2 linked regions of the Tamandua tetradactyla genome follow. The protein of the gene in region 1 purifies or fractionates together with the protein of each later gene. This does not show direct contact. Links are inferred from orthologs where the notes say so. Each region holds a gene or a part of one and is shown on either strand. Other genes may lie near its edges. The genes, in order: LURAP1 and CDC42BPB.

Region 1 (10,142 bases):
AAAGACCAACTCTTCATTCTGGCATTCATGGTCTCTGTCTTACGGGCACTTCAAACTCCAGCTGCACAAAACCTTTCCTCCTGCCTATTCTCCCGCTCACACTTCTCTTCAAATCCAGCTTGAAAGCCATCTCTTTCAGGAAGCTATCACAGTATCCTCATCAGAAGAGACTGCATCTTTCTACAACCCTCTCCCTTCTTGATCTTTATGGATCTTAGAGCCCTTGACTGTTTCCGCCTCATCCTGGAGATAACACATTCCTCCATCAGACTGAGCCCTCAAGGAAGGCCAGATCCAATTACCCAGCACCACAAAGATACCAGGAAGTGGTTATTAAAAAATAAATCGATGAATTAAATGCTCTCTAATACTAATGATCACTTTTGAGATTCAACTACATATAAGACATTTCACATTCTTCTCATTTAATTCTGGCAAGTAAAAATCATTATTCTCAATCTATAGTTGAGGAACTGAGGCCTCCAAAGTTGCATAGCTAGAAACTGGCAGAAATGTAGTTTCCACTCAGGTAGTGAACACCACAGCCACAGGGCCATGGCCTAAAGAGAATGGAAAGACTGGTCAACAGATCCCACTCTACTCACCGTGGTGCCATCCACTGCCACATACACTTTGCTCCGGCTGGAATATACCTCCACATCCAGGACCCGCCGGGGGCCACTGCCTCTGCGCCTTGGAGGCTCCAGGCGGCCCAGGGCTTCATCTAAAGGAACAAAAGGTGATAGAAATAGTCTCCCCTGGATCTACCTGCAACTCATCCATGAGACCTCAAGGGACCCCCTACCCCATCTTCAGCCTGGTCCCACCATAGTCTTGCTCTGGCTCCAGGTCTTCATTGGCCTCGCTAATTGCTCGCCGTGTGTCCAGAATCAACTTGATGTTGACGATGACAGTCACCAGGAGGAAGAGCACCGCCCCTGTCTGAGGGAAGGGGTAGAGACGACTAAAGAGGGGTACTTCCTCTAGACCATAGAGGGTCTTCCTGAAAGGAGGGCCCTGACTGCAGTAGGAGGATACAGGGAGAATCTGGAGTCTGCCTCCCCTCCCTTGTCTGTTCAGCTTTACTCCCCTAACTGGGACCCAGTTTCATGACTAGCTCCTTTAGGGAACCTCCCCTGACCCTTCTCCCTCCATCATGGCTCTTCCTACCTCTTGCATTCTTCCATCTGGGGCCTCTGATTTCCTTGAACCCCTTCACAGTTAGTTTCTAGAGGTGAAGCCAATCCCAGAAAACCAAGCTGGGGATCAGAAGACCTGGGTCCCAGCCTTGACTGCCTGACAGGTGATCCCGGACAAAGCCCTTCTGATCAAAATTCAAGTTTCTGTCAGAAGCCTAGGAGACTGGACTTGTTGGGTTCTGATTCCAAAGCTGAACTCTGGGACCAGTCTACTACCTGGTGGGAACTTGACACGTAGAGGTTCCCTTTCCAGGCTGAGGGATGCCAAGGTGGGTCTCAGTGCCCATATTCTAGGCTGGGGTAAAGCTGGGAAGGAGCCCCTGGGAGGTCTTGGGACATCCCTATACCTGACAGAACCTCCGCAGGGCCCGCTGGTTGGTCAGTTTATACTTCCAGGTAAGATACCAGCTCCGCTTCTTCCGAGCCCCAAAGGGCTTGATGAGGGGGCTGGGCTTCCAGTCGTCCATGCCTGATCGGGGGTGTCACCACTGTCCTGGCCAACCCATGCCTTCAGGAATCTGAGGGGACCAGAGTGTTATATGAGGTAAGGCACTCCTCCCAAAGCCTGATGACTTCTGGGGAGATGGGGAATGGCCTTCCAACAACTCTTGCCTGCAAACACCTGTGTTGTGTGACCTGGGAAAATGGTTTAACTTCTCTGGGTCTGATAGGAAAACCTTAAGGGAGGTTCAATCTGAAAAATTCCCCAAGGTTGGGGGAACTATCTGAGTCAGGACTGCCCAGGGACCCAGGAGCCGAGGCCAGATGATCAGATCAAGGCCCTGAAAGCTCTTAAGTAGCTGGAAAGGTGCAAACCCCAGGCCTTCCCAGTCCTGGGGTGGGCAAAGGGCAGCGAGCCCCCAGTCTTCCACCCCCTCCTATCTGGTCCCAGTCTTCTCCGCCCAGGGTTCGGAGCCGCCCGAACGTTTAGGAGATCTAACCCGGCCGCGCCGCCCCACCCCGGATCCCCCGCCCGGAAACACTCACGGCTCAGGGCGCCCGGGCCCCTCCAGGGCCCGACTCCGGCCCGCACAGCTCAGCCCGGCGCGCCGCGGCCTCCGCCTCCTCCATGCCGCGCACGGCCCCGCCCCGGCCCGCCCCCTTGCTTCCGCCGCCGCCGCTGAGGGGTGAGAGGGCGGCGGGCGGTGCTTAGGGCGGCGGCCGGGTGTCTGGTTCTCGCGTGGCGGGTTTAGACGCTCCGCAGCTTTGCAGCACGGCGCGTGGGTGGGCTGCTCAAGCAGTGCGGCTCGCCCCCCCCTGCCCTCCTCGGTGGGAAACCCGGTTCAAGTCACAGTTCTAGCGCTTTGCACCTGACCACACGATACCCCAGGGTTTCAGGGGTTGCCGGCCGGGAATCCAGCCCTTCACCGGCCTGTGCTGTCCTGGGGAAGGCTGCACTCTGGTTTGGCGTTACGAAGGAAAGAGACTTAGATTAAAAACCTGGTTCCATCGTTTACTTTGACCTTGGTAGGCAAGTCAGGTCACCTCTGAGTCTCGGTTCCCTTCTCTTTAATATGGGGATACATTTATACGATGGTCACTCTATCCCAGTCACTGTTCTCAGCATTTTACTCATATTAATTTATTTAATCCCACAACGGCCCCCGGAGGTGCTGTCATTATCACAACCTTGTAAAGAAATCTTTATTTAAAAGATGCCCAGTGTCACAGAGCTGGGAGAGTTGGGCTTCAAACCCAGACGGTTTGGCTCCAGATTCCCTTCTTAATCAGTGCACTACATCGGCTTTAATAGTACTTAAGGAGTTGTAAAGGTTAAAGGAAATAATACATATAAAGTACATATCCTAACACAGTGGTACTCAAATTTTAGCTTACATCAGAATCACTTGGAGGGCTTGTTAAAACAGATTGCTGGGCTCCATTCCTAGAGTTTTTGATTCAGGAGTCTGGGGGCAGGGTGGGATTTTGCATTTCTATCAAGTTTCTAGGTGATGGTGATGCTTATTCAAAGTGAGTGGGTAGCCATGGAACAATTTTAAGCAGACGAGTGATATAATACAATTTATGTTCTAAGAGAACCTTTACTATTTTGTGGAGAATGGTTTGAAACGATATATGAGGGGAAGCTGGAAAAGTAGTGTTTTTTTTAGCTCTCCATATTCCATCTGTTTCCCAAATGGTGGGATGGTATCCCATAAATGTTAATAGTACTTGTCTTAGGAGTGAGGCAATGGGTGATCTTTTCCTAATAAATATGTATAAAATACAATAGGAGAAAACCCAACACATTTTATTAGCATTTTAAAAAGTTATTGCTTGGTTCCTCCCTGATCCTCTTCTCTCCTCAAACTCACTCTCCATGGAAGACATCACCCATTTCCATGACCTCTGTTACCATCTAAATTGCCAAACTCATAGCTATCATCCTAACCTCTCTCGTGAGCTCCATGCTCACCTCCAGGTTCACCTGCCTGCTGGACGTCTCTGTCGATTCCTTCAACTCCACAGGACTCCTGCTGGAATCATCTCCCACTCCCAGGCTTCTTCTTGAGTTCCCTTCTTTGGTGAATCACATCAGCTGGGAGTCACCCTTGCTTTCTTTTCTTTCTGGGTCTCTTTGGTCACACTGTATTCTCCGCCCCCCACACAATGGCTAGCACATAGTAGGCGCTCCATAATATTTTTTAAAATCATTCACCCATTTCTTTGAACAAAAATTTATTGACTATATCGTAAGTAAATGAATGTAACCAGCACCAAGTGGTGTCAATCATATCTCTAACAAGCCCTCCATTCTGGTTTAATTCTTCAACCAACCCAGGTCTCAGTTTCTTGCCTTTCCACTGGCCTCCTTGACTCCAGATTTTTACTACTCCCATGTTTTTTCTTTGTGAAATTTAGAATAATTTTTCAAAAAGGTAGATCTGTTTTTGCAATCTCTGACTTAAAACCCTTACATGGTCAAAAGATACTGTCCTCTGAATTATATATTACGTGAAATTACAAAGGTAACCATTAGATGAAGTATACAGGACCAGTGACAGAAGGGAAGTACTGATTGTGAGTTAAATCCATACTTTCCATAATAGGAAACCAATAGACAAACATTTAAAATCAAGAACCAGTAGTATACTTATGCAAGGTGTTAATAACAGGGTGGTATATGGGGATCTTTATTTTATGCATGATTTTCCTGTAAACCCATAACTTCTCTAATTAAAAAAAAAAGAAAGAAAGAGGGGTTGTGCTGGTTTAAATCTGTTATGTACCCCAGAAAAGCCTATGTTATTTTAATCCGTTCTTGTAGGGGCAGACTTATTGTTGGGTGGGACCTTTGATTAGATTGTTTCCATGGAAATGTGACCCCACCCATTTAAGGTGGGTCTTAATCAGCTTGCTGGAGTTCTTTAAAGGAGAGAAGTTCTGGAGAGAGCCAATAGAAGCTAAGAGAGAAAATAAACACCCACAGAGATATTTTAGAGGGAAGGACCAGAAGACATTGCCATGTGCCTTCCCACCTGACATAGGAACCCCGGATGCCAGCAGCCCTTCCTTCAAGAAGGTAAACTCTTGGTGCCTTAATTTGGACATTTTCATGGCATTAGAATTGTAACTTGTAACTTAATAAATCTCCACTGAAAAAGCCCACCCATTCTGGTATATTGCATTCCAGCAGCTTTAGTAAACGGAAACAGTGGTATAAACCTATTTAAATACTAGAAGGAAAAAAAAAGCTAAAAGTGGTTGCTTCTGGGAAGTGGGACTAGAGGCGGGAAAAGGTAAGGCAGGGATAACTATCTTTTCATTGTAAACCCTTCTGTAACGGTGAACTGAATTACTTGGATTAAAAAACCAAAATCTAAACTAAGCTGAAACAAAACAAAACATTTTTATGGTTCTCCATTGCTCACAGAATAAAATCCAAACACCTTAAAACAGCCTTGTACAACCTTGCTACTCAGAGTGTGGTTCTAGGACCAATAACATAGTCATCACCAGGAGCGTGTTAGGAATGAAGAATCTCAGGGCCCACCTCGGACTTACTGAATCAGAATCTGCATTTTAACAAGCTCCGCAGATGAGTCAAAGGAACGGTCAAGTTTAGGGAACACCAGTCTACAAGATCTGGTGTGATCTGGCCCATGCAGAGCACTAAAGCTTCAACACTGGTTGCCTGCCGCTGGGCAGAAGGACTTTAGTTTCTGCTCCTCCTGTCTAAGGAGGAGCTGAAATTGGTGTGTGTATATGTGTGTGCCCGCGCGTGTCAGTGATTAGCTAAATTCTAGCCGCTATTTTCTACCAACTCTTCTACCCCAGGAAGCCTTTCAAAACTCTCTGCAGTCCTCTGCTACCACTGTTCATCAAGCTCCAAACATTTACTGGGCGCCTGATGTGTGCCTGTTTAGATTCAGTGGCAGAGTGGGGAGAAGGCGCTGAGCTCTCCTAGCGCATTCCTGAGCTAGAGGGTGTGTGCGCAGCCCTGGAATAGACTGTGCGCGGCTCTCAGAAAAGGCTCTGCGCGGCTTTTCTGAGCGGTACGGCGCCCTCCTCCGCCTGTGCGCCGCGCGGGCGGGGACCCACCCGTTCTGCTCCGCTCTGCAGTGGCGGCGGGGAAAGGAAGACCCCCGGGAGCGGGACCCCGGCGTCCGGTCGCCCAGCCCCGCACAGGCTTGGGCCCGTATGGAGGGGACCGCAGAGTCCCAGACGCCTGACCTACGAGACGTGGAGAGCAAGGTGGGCAGGAAGACCCCTGAAGGGCTTCTCCGCGGGCTGCGAGGCGAGTGGGAGCCGGGGACCGCTGGCGCCCTGCTGCTCCCAGGAGCGCCTAGCTTGGGCCACGGCTTGGGGGACAAGATCATGAAGCTGAGGATGGAGCTGGTGAGTGTTACCTCCACGGGCCAGGGCGTCGGAGTCCCCGGTTTAGGGCTGGAAAGAACGGACTGACGCCCCCGGAGTGGGCTGGAGAGGAAGGAGTTAAAACTCCGCACCTTACTCCTCTGGATGCTTCCCAGGTTAATCTGTAAAACCCGCGGGGCGGAGGTAGGGTGACTTCCATTAATTGTCCCCCAAGGGTGGGTGGGATGTTGGTGGGTTCCCAGGACTTGAGGTGGGAGGCACAACCTAGGAAGTTTTTCCGCCAAATAATTGGGAGTGGGGAGGTCAGGGCAGGGAGACAACTGAGAACCTGGCACTGCACACCTCTGTCCCCCCCTAGTTGCATTACAGGGCAACTAGGTTCTTCTTCCCTGCAAACTAGGAGCTTTTTCAGGACCAGGACCGAATTTGGTTCAGTTGAGGCCCAAGTGTTTACGACAGGATTCAGTACAAAAGAAAATTTGGGTGAGACACACATCTACTGAAAACTGCCAGGACCAGGGGGCACTAAAATCATTCTGCCATCCAGGCATAAAATATCTGAAAGTTCCCAGAACCATAGCAGACAAAGATTAGGCACACCCATCAGTGTCAGTTCCTCACCTGACTAGTCTTCTTCCCGGGGGTGCACTGGATATTTGGATTCCATCTGTTCCTCCTTGGGGAGAAAAGGAGGAAACAGGCACCCCCCCCCTTCCATGGTGCTGCAGTCTAGATGTTCTGAGCCAAAAGGACACCTAGGGCTTTGATTCCGGTGAAGAGACTGAGGTGAAGGGAATGATTTACACCTGCCACTACTTCATAGCCAGTTCTAATAACCTGAGGAATTGCCGGCTGCTCCCTGGCCCAGAACCAGAAACTCACAGTGAGTTTGTCAGCTAATAAGTCTTCCTGGAGCCCCACTGTGCGCCCTCCTCTGTGCCAGGCCTGGCTGTGAGGGAGGTAGGGAGGAGAGCCCAGGGCTCCAGGGCTTCCTGAGAGGCTGGGAGGAGAACCTTGTGGGCGGAGCAGTCAGGGAAGGCTCCACTTGAATGCCAAATGTGCACTTGGCCTTGAAGGTTGGGGGTGAGTGCCAAATGCTCTAGAGCAGGACTGTGACTGCTCACCTAAGTGGGGGCTGGTGTTGCCTTATCATACAAACTGGAGCTTGAGGCCTAGAAAGAGCCTACTTAGAATACCCTGCTTTGAAAATACACTCTATAATATATTCTCTTAATCCTCACAAAAGCCTTATGAGGAAAATAATTTATAGATGAAGAAATTGAGGCACAGAGAGGTTAAGGAACTGTCCGAGGTCATACAAAAAGTAAAAAAGCAGAGCTAGGATTTGAATCCAGATAATCTGACTACAATTTACATCTTTATCGTTAAGACCTGCTTTGGGTCAGACACTTTAAAACACATTATGTCATTGAAGTGAGAAAAATAGTCATTATTTTCCCCATCTCACAGATGTAGAAATATGCTTGGAGGTGTTAAGAGAGCTCCCACAGGAAGTCAGTGGAGAAGCTGTACCTAGTCTCTCTGGCTCTCTTTTCTGCCTTTGAAGGTGAACTTTTTTAGGGATACATTTAACTTCTGATTTTTTTTCTTGCTGTATTCTTGACTCAGCCTGACCTGGGGCCTGAGGCTGCCTGTGAAGGGCACAAGGGAGGGAGCCTTCTAGGGGTCAGAACAAGGAGAGATCCTCTACATGTACTCACAGATCCCTACCCCATTACTTTCTCCCTCCTCAGGCCAGGATGTCATTGATCTCTTCTGGCACTCTGCCTTGCCCACTGTCTTGGGCCCAGGAAGGACAGTGGTGGAACAGGGGGTTCTCCATGGAGCCACTAGTAGCAGGACTGAGCCAAGCCCTCTAAGGACTGTCCTTCAGTTGTCCTTCTCCCAGCTCTCCTTGCTGGGAGGAGTCAGGCTTGCCCTTGAGGTTAAGGTCAGCCCTGCCTTTAGGTTTCTTCCCTCTGGTTTCTCTCCCCCACTCAGGGGTTGAGTGATATTTGTGGCTGGTGGTAGGGGAGGTGGGGGGGGGATGGCAATTCTCCACCCCGTAGTCCTCCCACCCAAATAACTGTTGCTATGACAACCCACCACCACAGAGCAGTTTGAGGCAAAGCTTTAGGAAAGGAAGGGGAAGGCAGGGGTTCAAGTCCTGGCTCCGCTCTTGAATCACTTTATGATCTTGAGCAGGACCCTGTCCCTTTCTCAGCCTCAATTTTTCTGGGGACCTGGGGGTGGGGGTGGAAAGGGGTGTGGAACCATATGATCTCTAAGGGTCCTTTTAATGACAAGAGCCTGAGAATCTCAATCCAATATCAAGGAGCTGGAAGTGGGGAGTGGAGCTCCAGGCTTTACCCCAAGGCCTGATTTGGATGAAGCAATGAGAGAGGCATACTCCAGAGCTGGGCAGAGAGCCTGAGGTGTATATGTTGAGAGGAAGGATAGAAAGCCTGAATCTCCCTGGGAAGAGAATTGGGTTGGAGTAGCCTTTGAGGTTTCATCTCTCATGAGCTGTTTATCTTCTCTGTTTCCAAAGAGATGGTATGAAATAAGTTTCTTTTTCTGGCAAGAAACCTTTGCCTTCTATTCTGGGGCTGATGCTGTCACAGTCAAGGAATTCCAGTGTCATAGGATCTTTGAATCTGCTTCTCAGATTCATTTCCCATCAATACAGCAAAATTCAGCCCACTGAACCCTAGGGACCACTAGAAGGGCAAAGGATAGTAAAGGCAAGAGAATCATAGAACTGAATCTGATCTATCCAAGCCTAGACTACCAGAATTGATTTAGGCAGGACCTGCTCTTAGGAGACTTACAGTCTGGATTGGGGAAGGAGGGAGACAGTAGCAACCCTAGGACAGAAAGATAGGTGCTGTTGGAACACCCAGAGAAGTGGCATGGTTGGGTTTGTGCTCTGGAAAGTTCACTTTGAATTGGAGGTGGGTACATTCTTTTTTCCACTGGGTGGGATGCCTCTCCACCTCTTTACCTAGCTAAGTCCTACTTAACCTTCAAGTCTCAGCTCATGCCCTTTATCCTAGGAAGCCATTTCTGACCTCCCCTAGGTTATGGGTCTCTAGGTATCCATAGCTGTCTGTGTAGCAATTATTTCCACTAGCTTTTATAACACTGAATTTTAAGAGCTTGCTTCAATGTCTTATCTTACCCATCAAACTGTGAACCCTCTGAGGGCAAGAAAGGGTGTGTTTCTTCATTTGTCTAAAACAATACCAGACCTATAAGGAACACTCAATAAATATTTGTTCCATGACTGAATGGATTCATTCCATGTTGGGAAAGGGTAGAAAAGACTTCTTAGAGGAGTAGCATTTGAGCAGGGCCCTGAAGAATGGATAAAGTCAGTGGGAATTCCAGTTCAAGGTGGCAGATTAAATACATGTATTTTGTTACTTTCCCTTCTGAAACTCCACTCAAAAGCTAGTAAATGGATTATTTTAAAAGGCATGAAGCCTTTTATAAGATTATAGGAGACGATGATAGGGACAAGATGTTATAAGCTGAAAAGCAGAAGGAACAGTGGTAACTAACTTAGTAGACTCCCCCCCAAAAAGCTGAATCCCAAGCCAGCAATGGCAAAAGCTGAAAAGCAACCTCAGAGGTCTCAGGAATTGAAAGCACCAGATATTTCTGGAACTGGGAGTGTGAGTGTGGATGAAAACATTCTGTTTAAGACTCATAGTCTAAGCCAATCATAAAATGGTAAGGGGCTCCAAATAACCAAAACCATCTTTAAAAAGAAGAACAGTAAGAGGATTCATACCTCCCAATTTCAAAATTTACCACAAGCCTGAAGTACTCAAAATAATGTGGCATAGGTATAAGGACAGATATTTAGACCAATGGAATAGAATTGGGAGTCTAGAAATAAACTCACTCATTTATAACCAATTGATTTTTGACAAAATGCCAAGTCCACTGAATGTGAAAAGAATAATTTCTTCAACAAATGGTGCTGGGAAAACTGGATATCCACATGCAAAAAAAGAGAAAGAAAGTGGACCCCTACCTCACACCATATGCAAAAATGAACTAATTTTTGGATTAAGAACCTAAATATAAGAGCTAAAACTATAAACTTTTAGAAGAAAG
Region 2 (10,618 bases), on another chromosome or scaffold:
CAAAAAGACAGCCAACCCAATTACAAAATGGGAAAAAGACTTGAACAGACACCTCTCAGAAGAGGAAATACGGATGGCCAAGAGGCACATGAAGAGATGCTCAATGTCCCTGGCCATTAGAGAAATGCAAATCAAAACCACAATGAGATATCATCTCACACCCACCAGAATGGCCATTATCAACAAAACAGAAAATGACAAGTGCTGGAGAGGATGCGGAGAAAGAGGCACACTTATCCACTGTTGGTGGGAATGTCAAAGGGTGCAACCACTGTGGAAGGCAGTTTGGCGGTTCCTCAAAAAGCTGAATATAGAATTGCCATACGACCCAGCAATACCATTGCTAGGTATCTACTCAAAGGACTTAAGGGCAAAGACACAAACGGACATTTGCACACCAATGTTTATAGCAGCATTATTTACAATTGCAAAGAGATGGAAACAGCCAAAATCTCCATCAACAGAAGAGTGGCTAAACAAACTGTGGTATATACATACGATGGAATATTATGCAGCTTTAAGACAAGATAAATTTATGAACCATGTAATAACATGGATGAACCTAGAGAATATTATGCTGAGTGAATCCAGCCAAAAACTAAAGGACAAATACTGTATGGTCCCACTGATGTGAACGGACATTCGAGAATAAACTTGAAATATGTCATTGGTAACAGAGTTCAGCAGGAGTTAGAAACAGGGTGAGACAATGGGTAATTGAAGCTGAAGGGATACAGACTGTGCAACAGGACTAGATACAAAAACTCAAAAATGGACAGCACAATAATACCTAATTGTAAAGTAATCATGTTAAAACACTGAATGAAGCTGCATCTGAGCTATAGGTTTTTGTTTTGTTTTGTTTTGTTTTGTTTTGATTTTACTATTATTACTTTTATTTTTTTCTCTATATTAACATTCTATATCTTTTTCGGTTATGTTGCTAGTTCTTCTAAACCAATGCAAATGTACTAAGAAATGATGATCATGCATCTATGTGATGATGTTAAGAATTAATGATTGCATGTGTAGAATGGTATGATCTCTAAATGTTGGGTTAATTTCTTTTTTTCCGTTAATTAAAAAAAAAAAAAAAAGAGAAGGGGTAATTGGAGCTGAAGGGATACAGACTGTACAACGGGACTGGATATAAAAACTCAGAAATGGACAGCACAATACTAAAAAAAAAAAAAAAAAAAAAAACTTATGGGACGCAGCAAAGGCAGTGCTAAGAGGGGAATTTATTGCCCTAAATGCCTATATCAGAAAAGAAGAAAAGGCAAAAATTCAGGAATTAACTATCCATTTGGAAGAACTGGAGAAAGAACAGCAAACTAATCCCAAAGCAAGCAAAAGGAAAGAAATAACAAAGATTAGAGCAGAAATAAATGAAATTGAAAACATGAAAACAATAGAGAAAATCATTAAGGCCAGAAGTTGGTTCTATGAGAAAATCAATAAGATTGATGGGCCCTTAGCAAGATTGACAAAAAGAAGAAGAGAGAGGATGCAAACAAATAAGATCAGAAATGGAAGAGGAGACATAACTACTGACCTCACAGAAATAAAGGAGGTAATAACAGGATACTATGAACAACTTTACGCTAATAAATACAACAATTTAGATGAAATGGACGGGTTCCTGGAAAGACATGAACAACCAACTTTGACTCAAGAAGACATAGATGACCTCAACAAACCAATCACAAGTAAAGAAATTGAATCAGTCATTCAAAAGCTTCCTAAAAAGAAAAGTCCAGGACCAGAAGGCTTCACATGTGAATTCTATCAAACATTCCAGAAAGAATTAGTACCAGCTCTCCTCAAACTCTTCAAAAAAACCGAAGCGGAGGGGAAACTGCCTAATTCATTCTATGAAGCCCACATCACCCTCATACCAAAACCAGGCAAAGATATTACAAAAAAAGAAAACTACAGGCCAATCCTTCTAATGAATATAGATGCAAAAATCCTCAATAAAATTCTAGCAAATCGTATCCAACAACACATTAAAAGAATTATACATCATGACCAAGTAGGATTCATCCCAGGTATGCAAGGATGGTTCAACATAAGAAAATCAATTAATGTAATACACCATATCAACAAATCAAAGCAGAAAAATCACATGATCATCTCAATTGATGCAGAGAAGGCATTTGACAAGATTCAACATCCTTTCCTGTTGAAAACACTTCAAAAGTTAGGAATACAAGGGAACTTCCTTAAAATGATAGAGGGAATATATGAAAAACCCACAGCTAATATCATCCTCAACGGGGAAAAACTGAAAACTTTCCCCCTAAGATCAGGAACAAGACAAGGATGCCCACTATCACCACTATTATTCAACATTGTGTTGGAGGTTCTAGCCAGAGCAATTAGACAAGAAAAAGAAATACAAGGCATCAAAATTGGAAAGGAAGAAGTAAAACTATCACTGTTTGCAGACGATATGATACTATACGTCGAAAACCCGCAAAAATCCACAACAAAACTACTAGAGCTAATAAATGAGTACAGCAAAGTAGCGGGTTACAAGATCAACATTCAAAAATCTGTAGCATTTCTATACACTAGCAATGAACAAGCGGAGGGGGAAGTCAAGAAACGAATCCCATTTACAATTGCAACTAAAAGAATAAAAGACCTAGGAATAAATTTAACTAAAGAGACAAAAAACCTATATAAAGAAAACTACAAAAAACTACTAAAAGAAATCACAGAAGACCTAAATAGATGGAAGGGCATACCGTGTTCATGGATTGGAAGACTAAATATAGTTAAGATGTCAATCCTACCTAAATTGATTTACAGATTCAATGCCATACCAATCAAAATCCCAACAACTTATTTTTCAGAAATAGAAAAACCAATAAGCAAATTTATCTGGAAGGGCAGGGTGCCCCGAATTGCTAAAAACATCTTGAGGAACAAAAACGAAGCTGGAGGTCTCGCGCTGCCTGACTTTAAGGCATATTATGAAGCCACAGTGGTCAAAACAGCATGGTATTGGCATAAAGATAGATATATCGACCAATGGAATCGAATAGAGTGCTCAGATATAGACGCTCTCATCTATGGACATTTGATCTTTGATAAGGCAGTCAAGCCAACTCACCTGGGACAGAACAGTCTCTTCAATAAATGGTGCCTAGAGAACTGGATATCCATATGCAAAAGAATGAAAGAAGACCTGTATCTCCCACCCTACACAAAAGTTAACTCAAAATGGATCAAAGATCTAAACATTAGGTCTAAGACCATAAAACAGTTAGAGGAAAATGTAGGGAGATATCTTATGAATCTTACAATTGGAGGCAGTTTTATGGACCTTAAACCTAAAGCCTTAAATACCACAGTTTGTTTAGCCACTCGTCTGTTGATGGACATTTTGGCTGTTTCCATCTCTTTGCAATTGTAAATAACGCTGCTATAAACATTGGTGTACAAATGTCCGTTTGAGTTTTTGCCCTTAATTCTTAAGAGCACTGAAGAACGAAATAAATAAATGGGAGCTCCTCAAAATTAAACACTTTCGTGCATCAAAGAACTTCATCAAGAAAGTAGAAAGACAGCCTACACAATGGGAATCAATATTTGGAAACGACATATCAGATAAAGGTCTAGTATCCAGAATTTATAAAGAGATTGTTCAACTCAACAACAAAAAGACAGCCAACCCAATTACAAAATGGGAAAAAGACTTGAATAGACACCTCTCAGAGGAGGAAATACAAATGGCCAAAAGGCACATGAGAGATGCTCAATGTCCCTGGCCATTAGAGAAATGCAAATCAAAACCACAATGAGATATCATCTCACACCCACCAGAATGGCCATTATCAACAAAACAGAAAATGACAAGTGCTGGAGAGGATGCGGTGAAAGAGGCACACTTATCCACTGTTGGTGGGAATGTCAAAGGGTGCAACCACTGTGGAAGGCAGTTTGGCGGTTCCTCAAAAAGCTGAATATAGAATTGCCATACGACCCAGCAATACCATTGCTGGGAATCTACTCAAAAGAATTAAGGGCAAAAACTCAAACGGACATTTGTACACCAATGTTTATAGCAGCGTTATTTACAATTGCAAAGAGATGGAAACAGCCAAAATGTCCATCAACAGACGAGTGGCTAAACAAACTGTGGTATATACATACGATGGAATATTATGCAGCTTTAAGACAGAATAAATTTATGAAGCATGTAATAACATGGATGGACCTAGAGAACATTATGCTGAGTGAGTCTAGCCAAAAACTAAAAGACAAATACTGTATGGTCCCAATGATGTGAATCGACACTCGAGAATAAACTTGGAATATGTCATTGGTAACAGAGTTCAGCAGGAGTTAGAAACAGGGTAAGATAATGGGTAATTGGAGCTGATGGGATACAGACTGTGCAGTAGGACTAGATACAAAAACTCAAAAATGGACAGCACAATAATACCTAATTGTAAAGTAATCATGTTAAAACACTGAATGAAGCTGCATCCAAGCTATAGGTTTTTGTTTTGTTTTGTTTTGTTCTTACTATTATTACTTTTATTTTTTTTCTCTATATTAACATTCTATATCTTTTTTGGTTATATTGCTAGTTCTTCTAAACCGATGCAAATGTACTAAGAAACGATGATCATGCATCTATGTGATGATGTTAAGAATTACTGATTGCATATGTAGAATGGTATGATTTCTAAAAAAAAAATGGACAGCACAATACTACCTAATTGCAATGTAATTATGTTAAAACACTGAATGAAGCTGCATCTGAACTATAGTTTTTTTCTTATATATTTTTGTATTTTTTATTTTTATTTTTATTTTTTCTCTATATTATCATTTTATTTCTTTTCCTGTTGTCTTGCTATTTCTTTTTCTAAATCGATGCATATGTACTAAGAAATGATGATCATACATCTATGTGATGATATTAAGAATTACTGATTGCATATGTAGAATGGAATGATTTCTAAATGTTGTTAGTTTATTTTTTTTAATTAATAAAAAAAAAAAAAAAAGAAAAAGAATGTTTCCCCAGAAGGCTCCCTCATGACCCCCTCCAGTCCTTATCTCTTCGAAAGAAATATACTCTGGCTTATATCACCAAAGACTGTTCTTGCCTTATTTTTTTAGTGAGGTATAACACATACACCACGAAGTGCACTAATCTCAAGAGTACAATCTGAAGAACGCTTATTGAGTACCGCTCTGTAACCACCACCCAAACCGAGATACTGAAAATGCCGGGCGGCCTAGAAGGCTTGCTCCTGCCTTTCCAGTAACACCTCCCCACAGAGGCTGCTGCAATCTGGACCCCCATTACCGCACACAGTTTGGTCGCAACTTCTTGTTCTTCACAGCCAAGAGGAGTCCCCAGGTTTCCTTGGCTTCCCGCCTCTACAGCCCTATCTGCCCCCTCACCTGCTGCCCCCCCTACCTTCCAAAGATCCCCCTTTCCTCAAGTGAGGGTTAACTCGCCCCCCGCCCCAGCGGCTCCAATTCATCCCCTGGCCTCAGGGAGCCCCTCAAATTCCGGCAGCCCTCCTCTCCTGTTGTCAAGGGCTCGCTGCGGGGGTGAGGGGCACTGAAATTAAGCACCATCTCAGTAAAAGCGGGGCAAGTCCGGCCTCAAGGCAGATCGTCGGCCCCGCATGGGTTTGCGGGGACGGGGCCGTGAGGGGTGGAAGCCGAAATGGCCACTGCTGATTCACAGGGCGCGGGGAAGTCGCCCGGGCGCGCCTGTCCCGTACCCCTGCCCCATCTCGCCTTCAGTCTCCGGTCCCTCAGGTCGGAAGATGGGACCTGATTTGGAACTCAATCGCTGCTCCTAGAGGCCGCTCGTCCGGCCTTTCCCAGGGGTTCATCGGCCTCCGACCGCGCCCGCGCCTCTCCGAGCTTGGAGATCCCATTCGCGTATGGGACTTGCAAGGCTGGAGCTGGAGGGATAGTCGCGGGGAATAGGGCCCAGACGAGCACACGCGCGGGTACCACTCCCTGCTCCCGCGCGCCCCCTCGTGGCCGCTCTCTGCGCACGCGTAGGCTCCGCAATCTCAGCGGCGCACTGGCCGCCCGCTGGCTCCGCCCCTATCGGCCGCTCTCCCCGCACCGACCCCCGCCCCCGCGCTTCCTTCCCAGCTTCCCGGCCTCCCTACGGCAAGCGGCGAGGTCCGACCCGCCGGGCGCAGGGCGCGCTGGGGCGGGGCGGGGCGCTGAGGTCAGCGCTGTGGTTGGCTGCGCCCGCGCTGGCCGCACCCTGGTTGGCTGCGGGCCGCGGGCTGGGCCGCCGGGTCCGGACTGGGGTCGGGGCTCGGGCGCCGACCGGGTTTGCGCAGCTGTCGGCTCCGCGCCGCTCCCGATTTGCGGCGCGCGGCGGGCCTGTGGGGAGGGGCGCGGCTGGCGGGCGGGGCTGCGGGCCGCGCGGGGGCGAGGGCGGGGCGGGCCGCGCGGGTGGGGCGGACGGCGGCGCGGAGGGGAGGAGACCGGCCCATGGACCCGCGGGGCCCGGCGCCCCAGACGCTGCGCCGCCGGGACCGAACCCAAGATGTCGGCCTAGGCCGGAGCGCGACGACGCGGACGGGGCGGCGACGAGGCGCCGGTGCGGCCGGGTCTCGCGGCCGCAGGACCCCCGAGGGCTCTCCCTGACGGACTGGCCGAGCGGGCGGCGAGAGGCCAGCGCGCTGGGAGCGGGCCGCGCCACACCATGTCGGCCAAGGTGCGGCTCAAGAAGCTGGAGCAGCTACTCCTCGACGGGCCCTGGCGCAACGAGAGCGCCCTGAGCGTGGAGACACTGCTCGACGTGCTTGTCTGCCTGTACACCGAGTGCAGCCACTCGGCCCTGCGTCGCGACAAGTATGTGGCCGAGTTCCTCGAGTGGGGTGAGTGCGCTCCGGCCCCGACCCTCCGTCCCTTAGGGTGCCTCCTCCCTGCACCGGGCTCCTGCCCTTCGCGCCCCGCATCCCTCTTCCTTCCCGGCCCCTGCGCGTCTTGCACCGTCCGCGTAGACCCACGGCCCCGCTGGTCTTTTTGCGCCCTTGTCCTTCTGCTCGCTCTTCATCCCTCCCTATCCTCCTCACCCTCTCACATCCGCGTCCAACCGACCCGCCCCCTCATCCTGCCCCTTGGAGCCACATCCTCCGTTCCCACCCCCACCCCTCCCCCCGCCGGGCCATCGCCCCGTCCGCTTCCTAGATCCACCCTCCGAGTCTGGATATCATTTCCTGCAGCACACCCTGGGATATCCGCCCCCCGCCTTCCCCCATCTCGCCTTTGGGGTCCAGAGCCAGCGTTGTGCCTCGCTCCCCCATGCTGGGGTGGTGGGCATAGCCGCGTGTGCTTTTTGCATTTGTCTCGCCCACGGCCCGGTGGATTCCCCTATCCCCATCTTTTGGGGCCCCAGCCCTGACGTTAGTCCGCTCCTAGGTGACAGGCTGTCTGCGTCTTCTGGGTGTCCCTAGTCCTGAACACCCCTTTTACGTAGCACCTTCAAAGGAATTTTAAGGTTAAAATTTTAATTTTGAATCCGACATGCAAAAATAGACCAACTTTTTCATCATAATTGTGTTAGACCTGTGTAATGTTTTGGGAATATCTGAGTTTGTCGGTATGTGAAAGTCACTTAAAATTTTTCTTCATTTGGTGTTCTTTGTCTCCTCAGGTTCCAAATTCATTTAAGAATCTGCTGAGGATCTATTATGCTTTATGTAGAAAAACTTTATTAGAAAAACATTTAATGAAGCTACTAAATTATAATTAGGACCCCAAAGACTGGTCAAAGTGTAAAGGGAAAAACTCTTGCTTCATCTCTCACATGAACATTCTCTGACTCCAAAACACCTGAGAAGGAGGAGGCAACACTTAGGTTCCAGGCCAAACTGATAATCTCCTTAGGTCATTTGCATCATCCAGCTAGGACTGTGCAGTTTGAACCAGTCATTTCTAATTTTTGGTACTGATAAACTGATATTCACATGAAGAAACAAACTACTGTATTCCTTAGTGAGACCTCTCCTCTGCCAAAATGGTAACTGGAATTTGGTATTTTGTTTGCAAATTAAAACTTAAGTTGCCATGTTCTCTAGAGGACTCCTGTCTTTTGCCCCTCTCTAGGGGGTTGATGTAATCTCTTGTATGAGCCTCAGTAGAAGAATAACTCAGAGCCCCCTTATTCCAGCAGGGACCCTGTTCTTAGTTGCACGAATACCAGTAAATTAGTAGCATCCATTTGCTGGTTCTGATGGACATCAGTGCCATGATTTTCAACTGAATAATTAACTGCCTCCCCTATTGCTTTGAAAGTGAGAGCTTCGGTGTGTCTAATGCTCTGAGTCTTCCTAGCCTTGTTTGCCATTCCTTTCCGACCACTTTATGTTGAAATCCAGACAGAGCCACACTCAGGTTCAACCTGGGTGCAGTATATGAGTAAAGCATGACTAAAAGGAGGAAGTTGGGGGGAAGGTTGGTTTCCCTGGTAAGGTGTGGTCGGCTGGCTCCAGGCCTGGGAGTTGGTCTGAGGCTGGGCACCCTCTGCACCAACAGCCACCTCTCCCACCAGTTGTTACTGTACCCCCTATGAACTGGGTGGGCTTTGCTGAGGAAACTCTTGTCAGCAGGTGTGGGAGCCATATTTTGTGAGAGGCCGCTTTTCCGAATTTAATCTGTTTCTGTGCTAATATAGAAATATTCTATGTATTGCTTGTCATATATGAAGTAATATAGAAATGTTTTTCAAAATTGTGTTCTGGATCTTTGGAAATTGTGGTCACAAATAAATGACATTATTCTCCTAAGAATCAGTTTGCACAGAAATGTAAGCTTTAAACTACAGAGAAGAATGAACTTAAATTTAAGATGGCATTTAAATGAACTATTAATATATTTTGGAAAAAGTATCTAATCGCACGATAATTAACATACATGCACTGTTGTAACTCTAAGGTTGTGTGTTACTGGTTAAGCTCTGTGTGCAGTCATTATTGAGTGTTACTTGGACTCGCCCACTTACAGCTATTGGAAGACAAGGAATTGTCTTTAAAATAGAATTGTTTGTGGAGCATTGTTAAATACCCTGACTTCTAAGTGGGATTATTTCTGCTCAAGAAAATAGAGTTTGTTATTTTTGCAGCTGGCAATAGTTTTGAGTCCACCTATAGTGGTAGCACATCTAATAATTAAATAATACAAAGTACAATGGAGTTCCTGAATCACTTTCTGACACTTGCTTATGAAAATGGTTGAAGATATAGCTGTACATGCTATATCTGTTTATAGCCTATTGAGCCATGGATTGTTGAGTTTGTGTATTCCCACACTGGTGTTTGAAACCTCTGAAATGTTGGTTCCTGCCATGCAGAGGGCTGGCCTCTTTCCCCTTCCCAAATCTTGCCCCAAGTCTAATAGGGATTGTGTCGAAGTCTTGAAACTTCAGGAAGAAAGGCAGTCAGCCAGCCCAGATTTTGAGTCTTACTGGGAAATCTTTGAGGAATTTTGGAAAATATAGTTAATAAAGTCTTAAAATTTTAAAAGAAGACTGTTTAGTCTGGCTCTTTTATTTCTTGTTGCCACAGAAGTTGTATGGGACAAGACTCACTTGCCTCCTGTTCAGGTTTTGGTCTTTAATTTTCCCTTGATTATGTTTATGGTTTGATTAGTTTCCTCTTTGAAATTCTAGACTTTAATTAAAAGTTGGAAAAACTCTGCTTTGCAAGTGTATCTCTTTAAGCTATTTTTTTGAAATGTAAATTTGTTACAGTTTGAAGCAGAGCATATTTGAAACATTTTAAAATTTCTTCAAGTAATTTGGAGTAACCATGAACAGCTAAATGAGGTGAATTTGTTGTCTCTCATGCTTATGTAGAAATAGTTTTAAATTGCATGTGTTGAATATGTTTTCACAGCTTAGATATAATGGCTTGTGTTGGGTTTGGATGGAGCTGATGCTTGAAAGCCCAGCCTGCAGGCCTGGGCCCATTGCAGTAGCCATCTTCCCCAAACTCCCCCTTATGTGGCCAGCAGTCTGGGCGGAAGCTCAGCGATGAGCAGACACTCTTGGAGGTGGGTCGAACATGGGACCTCCGTTCGCCTGTCCACAGCATCTTCCCTCATGCTGTCCTTCCTCTACAATGAGAAGATAGCCTTTTGCTTAATTTCCCCATTTGTGGTTTTTATTATTATGAAGATAGCAGTACTTTCTCCGAGTTCTTCATATTTGTAAGCACCTGTGGCTGTTGGCCTGCTGATACCCAGCCTTAGGTGTGTGTGGGATGACTGTGGAGGTTCCCCTACCAGACTTATTGGGTAAGGTTTTACTAATGGTACTGAACATTGCAAAAGACATTATACTCTTGATGGTTCCTCTAGATAGAATGTTTATGTAACAAGGGAGCAATTTTCTTTTAAATAATAGATTGAAGAAAGAGGTCTTTTGAAATAAACTCTGAATGTACAGAAATATTGGAATTGCATCGTGTGATTAGGTTAACATAATTTTGATTTTATGGCCAGCTGTTTGATGTGTGTGTTGATATTGGCTACATGACGTGAGATGGGCGAGTTGAACCTATTAAACGTTAACAAGTCAACCTTAACTTTCCTCTCCTAAAACTTTGCTCAT

What was found.
Region 2: the proteins of LURAP1 (region 1) and CDC42BPB purify together in Homo sapiens (co-immunoprecipitation; 3 studies listed by BioGRID and IntAct, with this or other methods). This does not show direct contact. The link is inferred for Tamandua tetradactyla from reciprocal best matches to the Homo sapiens genes LURAP1 and CDC42BPB.

Annotation. Positions count from the first base shown.
Region 1 is NC_135328.1:176,645,980-176,656,121, reverse strand, and holds the start of LURAP1 (leucine rich adaptor protein 1), read left to right. Parts: upstream 1-5,411; 5' UTR 5,412-5,840; coding exon 5,841-6,038; intron 6,039-10,142. Other genes in the region: POMGNT1 (protein O-linked-mannose beta-1,2-N-acetylglucosaminyltransferase 1), read right to left, coding at 606-724, 828-942, 1,547-1,666. UniProt on the Homo sapiens protein: Acts as an activator of the canonical NF-kappa-B pathway and drive the production of pro-inflammatory cytokines. Promotes the antigen (Ag)-presenting and priming function of dendritic cells via the canonical NF-kappa-B pathway.
Region 2 is NC_135338.1:64,934,977-64,945,594, reverse strand, and holds the start of CDC42BPB (serine/threonine-protein kinase MRCK beta), read left to right. Parts: upstream 1-6,632; 5' UTR 6,633-6,709; coding exon 6,710-6,884; intron 6,885-10,618. UniProt on the Homo sapiens protein: Serine/threonine-protein kinase which is an important downstream effector of CDC42 and plays a role in the regulation of cytoskeleton reorganization and cell migration. Regulates actin cytoskeletal reorganization via phosphorylation of PPP1R12C and MYL9/MLC2.